Linked DNA regions of Cricetulus griseus. The protein of the gene in region 1 purifies or fractionates together with the protein of each later gene. This does not show direct contact. Links are inferred from orthologs where the notes say so. Each region holds a gene or a part of one and is shown on either strand. Other genes may lie near its edges.

What was found. The genes of interacting proteins can lie anywhere in the genome.
Region 2: the proteins of Ptpn3 (region 1) and Shkbp1 purify together in Homo sapiens (affinity purification with mass spectrometry; 4 studies listed by BioGRID and IntAct, with this or other methods). This does not show direct contact. The link is inferred for Cricetulus griseus from reciprocal best matches to the Homo sapiens genes PTPN3 and SHKBP1.

Annotation. Positions count from the first base shown.
Region 1 is NC_048595.1:86,660,217-86,663,861, reverse strand, and holds part of Ptpn3 (tyrosine-protein phosphatase non-receptor type 3), read right to left. Parts: intron 3,283-3,645; coding exon 3,096-3,282; intron 2,940-3,095; coding exon 2,862-2,939; intron 649-2,861; coding exon 592-648; intron 1-591.
Region 2 is NC_048602.1:8,560,681-8,564,425, reverse strand, and holds the start of Shkbp1 (SH3KBP1-binding protein 1), read right to left. Parts: upstream 2,285-3,745; 5' UTR 2,238-2,284; coding exon 2,143-2,237; intron 1,879-2,142; coding exon 1,825-1,878; intron 1,689-1,824; coding exon 1,643-1,688; intron 1,545-1,642; coding exon 1,471-1,544; intron 866-1,470; coding exon 807-865; intron 565-806; coding exon 484-564; intron 1-483. Other genes in the region: Sptbn4 (spectrin beta chain, non-erythrocytic 4), read right to left, coding at 3,606-3,745.

The DNA.
Region 1 (3,645 bases):
AATCACTTGCTCACGTTGCAATGTTTTAGTGAAAGCAAACCATCACACAAAAAAACAGAATATAGCAGGTCCGCCCACTCACCTGTCCACTCCATACAGGCTTAGCCAACATATCATGCTACACCTTACATATGTACACAGCAAGAAAAAACAGAAAGAGGCAAAGGATCTCTACAGGAGGCAAACAGAAAGTAAACTCTCTCAGTCTCCTTCGCTCGAGCAGCACTTCCCGAAGTTCAATGTGCATACATATCACCCAAGGGATCTTCTTACCGACAGATCTAGGGTAAGCAGGACTCCAGGCCTGGGCCAGCACCTGTGGCCTGCACCTGTGCTTTGGCCAGAGGTTCGCACATGTAACAAGGCCCCAGGTGACAGTGCTGTAGTTTCAGAGACCACACTGCACAGCACAGTTCTAGTTAATGGGTGTCCCACGCTTGTCTCCATCTGTCCGTGTGTATCACCTAACCATCCAAGCAATCAAATAAAAATGAAATCCCAACAAAACCCAGGAATGGGATGTAGAAACAGAAACTTGTTTGACTTAGGGGAAAGCAAACACAGGAAGTAACATGGAATGTGTTTACTTACAGGCGACTCTGGGTTTATCCTGGAGACCACAAGAGGCATTTTTTGATCCACTCCTCCCTGCAAATGTTTTAAAGCAAACAAAACCAGAAAAAAAAAAAAAAAAAAAAAAAAACTTGAGTAGTCTTGCCAACAAAGATACCAAGATACAGTAAATGTGAGCCTTACAGTTTAGGAAGGCTTTACAGGAGGACCAATCACAGGACTGGGAGCCTTTGCAGAATTATAGAACACACTAATGACTCCTCTTTACCCAGCAGGGTAGCCAGCACTCCACTGGCTCGGAAGCACATCCCAACATCCCCATCACTAGAACTGAAGATGCCATGGGAGGACCCGACCACATTTCCTGGAAAGGGACTATTTTAACTTTTCCAAAAGAGGAGGTACAAGGCCTCAGGAAGGGCCATGTGCACCTGAGTGCTTCCCTGTGAGCAGAGCCCTAGGGAGCTTCAGGAAGAATGGGGTGTGTGTGACAAGCCAGAGGCTGGTAGCCAGCCCCAATTCACTCTAGAACAGGAATGGGAGAGCTGGAGAGATGGCTCAGCGGTTAAGAGCACTGCCTGCTCTTCCAGAGGTCCTGAGTTCAATTCCCAGCAACCACATGGGGGCTCACAACCGTCCCTAATAGGACCTGATGTCCTCTTCTGGTTTGCAGGCATATGTACACACAGAACACTGTATACAAAATAAATAAAGAAGTCTTTTCCAGCACTCGGGAGGCAGAGGCAGGCGGATCTCTGTGAATTCGAGACCAGCCTGGTCTACAAGAGCTAGTTCAGGACAGCCTCCAAAGCCACAGAGAAACCCTGTCTCGAAAAACCAAAAAAAAAAAAAAACAAAGCAAAACAAAGACAACAACAAAAACCAGGAATGGGAGCTGTTGAGGGAGTGGGGAGGTGTGAGTGAGATGAAAGTTAGATGATGCTTCCTCAATAGCTATTTAAGATGTGTGGGAAAGAGGGCCCTGAGGCAGTCATTTAACTCCACCAATGAATCCCTGAAGCTGTAACCGAATGGGTGCAGCACCTGCTTCAATAATGCTATGTACACAGATGGGCGCAGGCCCGTGGTAGCAGTTTGGAGACACTGCCTACAGGGACCCATTAGACAAGGAGGCCCAGCAACTCACAGAACTGGCTTTCCCTTATCAGTCTAGCAGGGCTATAGGGTTCTCTAAATAACCCCTCCAGGGTGGGCTGTGGGCTGGGTTTGATCACCAATCACACACACACACACTACTTTCTGAACCTCAGTTTCATTTGTAAGATCTGTTTAACAACCGTCCTATGCACTATTTATTTCTTCATTTCTTTTTTCTTCTCCATCTTTTAAAATTTGAATTAGAAACAAGATTGTTTTACATGTTCCCTCTCCCTCCCCTCCTCCCCTGTCCCACACTAACACCCTACCAAGCCATTTCTGCTCTCTAGGGAGGGTGAGACCTTCCATGGGAGGGTCTTAAGAGTCTGTCATATCCTTTGCGATAGGGCCTAGGCCCTCCCCCATGTGTCCAGGCTGAGGGAGTAGCTTCATTTCTTTTGAGATAAGGTCTTGATAGCTCTGGCTGGCCATGAACTTGATAGACAGTCTAGGCCGGCTTCAAACTCATAATCTTTCTGTGTTCGCCTCTGATATAGTGGAGTTACAGGCATTAGTCCCACATGCTCTGCCTCAATCACTTATTCTAAGAGCTCAGTAAGATGACAGAAATCTAGTATAATGCCACAAATGTCAGGCACATTGCAAACATTTACTGTAAGGTAGTTGTACAAGCATATAAAAGGCTCTGGTCTCAGCCCCGAGTGGTTCTGAATGATTGTGTGCACCTGTGTATATGAGTATGCATGCATACACAAGTGTGTCTCTGGGTGGAGGCCAGAGGTCATCCTTGGGGGTCTCAGTCCTCTGGTGCCAGCTAACTTGTTTCTTGAGACAGTGTCTTTTACTTGCTCAGAGCTTGCTGATTATGCTCGACAGGCCACTAAGGCCCAGGGATCCACCTGCTTCTGCCTCCCCAGTACTGGGATTACAGGAGTGCATCATCACACCCATCTCTGTTAGGTAGTTTCTGGGGACTGAAACCAGGTCTTCATGTTTGCGTGGCAAGAACCTTACCAACTGAGCTACCTCTACAGCCCCAAGTGAGGTTTTGTTTGGTTTTGTTGATGCAGTGTAGGTATGTAGCAGATTTCTGACTGAAATTCAAAATCTACTTGAAGATTGTCTCATTGCATATAACCTAAGGGCTACACATACTCTCCGCAGCATACCTTAAGATTAAATCCAAATCTTCCATCTTCATCTGGTGTGATACGGATCAGGACGAGGTAGCCATCTCCTTCGTCATTCTAGAAGACATGTGACAGTGTTGTTTATATCCCTTCCCTCTGTAGTGGTTGGTGACAAGACACTTCCTCTCAGTCAGAACTACTCATTCGCCTGCCTACAAGGGAGGGTCACCGAGCCACTCGGTCCAAGTGTGACAGCACCTGGACCACCCTCACCTTGTCACAGTAGTACTGGCTGGCATCCTCAACGGAGCCTCCTTTGATCATCTTGTGATAGTCTTCTAAGAATTGCTGGTCAACTCCGTCTGGGGAGCAGGAGCCGGGAGCATTTGAAGACGGCGACACAGAACTGGATGACTTCCGGGTCAGGCAGCTTTGTGCTGGCTTGTTTTCGGACAAACTCCTTCATTGTGGGGAAGGAGATGTTTTAATAAATCGATTAATATTATCAGAGTAAATATCACTGGCTTGGGGGAGGGGAGACAGGCTGTCATCTTGAGATTGCTGTGGGATGCTGGAACCTTAGCACTTCCGCAAAGTCCTCAGGCTTACCTGTGCTCTCATCTAGTTTAAATACAATCACATCTGACTGACCTAGGGGCAAACGGCAGGAGGAACTACAGGAGGAACTACGACCACCACCTGTAACAGCTCCTCTCTCAGCTGCTTTGAAGGCTGGTGTGGAGATGCGGACAGCTCCTCCAGTTTAGCACCTTAGCTTCTTAGGCTGGTTTTGAACTTCTGGCTCAAGAGATTCTTCAGCCTC
Region 2 (3,745 bases), on another chromosome or scaffold:
TGTATTTGTGGTATAAAGTTAGCATGATGATGCTATTCTTTTTTTTTTTTAAGATTTTATTTATTTAATATGTATACAACATTCTGCTTCCATGTCTATCAGCACACCAGAAGAGGGCACCAGATCTCATAACGGATGGCTGTGAGCCACCATGTGGTTGCTGGGAATTGAACTCAGGACCTCTGGAAGGGCAGTCAGTGCTCTTAACCTCTGAGCCATCTCCCCAGCCCCATGAGGATGCTATTCTTTACATGTTTGTCTTTTTATTTCATGTTTCCTTTCTGAAAAAACTCAAACTACACCTCCCATCATGCTCATGGAAAATGCTGTTTCCTAGTTCCTTTCCAAACACGCTGATAAAGAACTACAACTCCCAGTGGAGCTCAGGGCTCCAAATGCAGGTACCTACGAGTTTGTAGCTTTGTGGGAAATGTAGTCTTTAACCCAATCTTCCCCTCCCCAGCGTCTACTGGGAGTGCCCACCTGGAGGAGGTAGATAGCCATTGAAGAGGACATTTCCGCAGGAGGATCGATCCAGCTCTTCCCTTACCTGCAGGCGGCGAACTGCAAAGGAAGGACTCCAAACTTGGTCTTGAGGGATTCTAAGGCAGACCCACGTCCGTCTCCCCATTTGTTTTCCCACAGAACTGCCGACTCCTTCAGAGCCAGACCCACACCGAATGCTCTTAGCTCTAACCCAAACGTCTTTCTGACCGGGGGAGTCAAATCGATAAAGAATGTTTGGGAAATAACTGAGGGCGCTGACTGATGGGAGTCGGGAGGGACACTCGGAGACTTCTACTTACCCAGTGGAGTGAGCCCATAGAATTGGGCTTCATGGAGGAGGCTGGACCCGTGGATACCCCTGGGTAAACAGAAGAGACTCGGGGGTAAAAGTCTGGGGGGTAGGGGTGAGCAGCACGTTCTGAGGGTTCTGAAACGGCGCTCGTTTTGACAGGCTTAAGATTTTAGAGAGTTTGAGTGGCGGTGCACACCCGACACCCCAGAAACTCTGAAGGAGAGGTAACAGGAGCAAAGCAAGTTTGAGGCCAGCCTGGCAACCAGGGCTACAGAGCAAGGCCTCATCTCAAACAAACAAGCAAACAAATACATAAATACTGTTTTTAAAAATCTAGGGAACGAGCCGGGCGGTGGTGGCGCACGCCTTTAATCCCAGCACTCGGGAGGCAGAGGCGGGAAGATCTCTGTGTGTTCGAGACCAGCCTGGTCTACAAGAGCTAGTTCCAGGACAGGCTCCAAAGCCACAGAGAAACCCTGTCTCGAGAAAACAAAAAAACAAAAAACCAGGGAACAAAGATGAGCGGTACAAATGTGTGCATATATTTGGAGAGGGGGTGGCTGTATAACGTGACCAAGACTGAATAACTCTAAAAGAAATGGAACAAAGGAACATCCGGGGAAGGAGACTTTCACGCTTGGGAGAACTCACCCCCCTTACCCTTCACCAACCTGGGGTCTAACTCTTTGGTGCGCAGGAAGTTGAGGATGGGGGCAAAGACGGTGGGGTCCCTGTCGATGAAGATCTGCAGGGGGTGGGGAGGGCCTGGTCAGGACCGGGAGGAAAGAGGGGGTCCTGACCCCCTCCCAAAGGCCGTCCCGCTTTTGACTTTGCCCCACTCACAGCTCCGGTCTCGTCTTTCAGAGTTGAGATGCGTCCGCTCAGAAGGCTGCACACAGCAGAGGGGAAGCCGAGGGGATGTCGTGGGCCGAGTTGCAGAGGTGAGTAAGGGTGGAAACCGGTCTCCCCACGCCCTCTCCTCCCGCCCCCTCCCACCCTCGCCCCAAACCGGCTCTCCTCATCACCTGGAGAAGAAGGAGTCCGGGATCCAGGTGAGCGTCTGCCGAGAGGTGCTGAACCTGGGCGGCGGGGCGAGGAGGAGACAGGCGACGGGGAGGTGAGGACGGCTGCCTCCTCCCGCCTGATCCACGCACCGAACCTTCCCTCCTTGGCCATTTTTCTTTCTTTCTTTTTTTTTTTTTTTTTTAACTCAAGCGCCAAGCCTCCATCCCGGGGCGGAGCAAGCCTTGATGGACAGGGATTAGCACCCCCACTCCCCGAAGAGGCGTGCACCCCCGCCCCAGTCCCGTAGGATGGGGCCTCGGGGGCTCCCCCAGACTCACCGCTTGCCCCCCACGTTCAGATGAATGACTTCCCCGGGGGCTCCCCGACTCGGGACCCCCCCCTCCTCCGCTGCGGAGGTCGCGGCAGCAGCCATGGCCCCCCGGGCGAGCCTGCCGGTCTGCACCCACTTCCGGGTGCGCGCAGACCCCGCCCCCGGCGCTCGCTTATTGGTCTAGAGACTCCGGGGTTCTCCGACGATTGGACCGAGCGCTCGCTCGTGGGAAATTACGTTCTCTGACTCTTTAAAGCCCGGGCGGTCTTTCCTGGCCGGGACGGGACGGGACGGGACGGGACGGGACGGGACGGGACGGGACGGGACGGGACGCGACGTGACGCGCATAACTCTCCCCTCCTGTGTCTCGACTTCTCTTTTCTAGGTGTGCAGATCTTGAGATGAGCCTGCTGCACCGCTGCTGGGTGAGTCGGTAGAGTCTAGCACGCCGTCTTGGCAGCCTGGTCCCCACCCCTGCCCGCCCCACCCTCCAATCCTGTCTCACACGAGCAAAGAAACCAGCGTAGACCGTCAAAGCCAAAGGGGTTTATTATAGGTACATACAGTGTGCGCCTGCCACACCGCCCCGCACCCCTGGCCCTGGCCCTGGCGTCGTCTCCGGGCAGCCACTGGGGCTGCCTGTAACCCTGATCCCTCCACTCCCAGGGAGGTGCTCCCGCCAGAAGCATGCGGGGGGGAGGGCTTCCCCACCCCCTCCCCTCGGGAAGTGGCATTTACAGCTGGACGGGGGGTGGGGGTGGGGGGAGAGGAAGACAGTTTTGAACTCTGAATCCCCCTCCTATTAAAAGCCTTCGCGGATGCGGGGCGGGGAGGAGGGAAGGAGGTTGGGGGGGGGAGGTCTACGTTTTTGCAAAAATAAACTAAGTCGGGAATTAACCGCATGGCTCTGAGATGGCGGGGTGCAGGGGCCAAGGGCCCCTTCGCTCCCTCTTCCCAGACAGATCAAGGCAGCATTGGAAGTGAGGTAAAGGCAGGGAGGGGATGTGTCCCCTCCCCACCCCCTAGCACCCTGGATGGTCCAGGGGACCTCACCAGCGCCCCCGTGTCCATCCTTAGGGAGGAGAGGAGGCCAACGAATACCACCACCTCCCAGGTCCCTCGCCACTCCAGCTTCTTGGGGCAGGATCTGACGATGGGGCAGGGGGCTTGGCTCAACTGGCTCCCTGCCCGTTCCCACCAAGCTCAGTTATTGCATAAAAAGAATGGAGCCCCAGCACCTGGGGTGGGGTTGGCGAGCGGGAAGGGACCGAGATATGGCTATAGGGACAGCATTCCCCCACCACCATTTCTTGGAGTGCAGGAGAATTCCCTTCCATTCTAGGGCCCACCGTGACACGTCCGCCTTGGTCGTTCCTGCCCTTGCGGATGAGAAGGTGTCTTTTGTGTCCACAGTGCGGAGAGGAGGGGCAAGGAGACTTGTCAGACTCCAAGGGGGGAGGGTACCTGGAGTCACTTCCGGCGCCCGCTGGCCCTACGCTCCCCGCCCTCGCGCTTGGGGTTGCCCTCATCCGTGGATGATGTGGTAGGTAGCGTCTGGCTCCAGCGGGCCATCTCGGCGTGTTCTGCTACTGAGCTAGCCACAGCCTCCA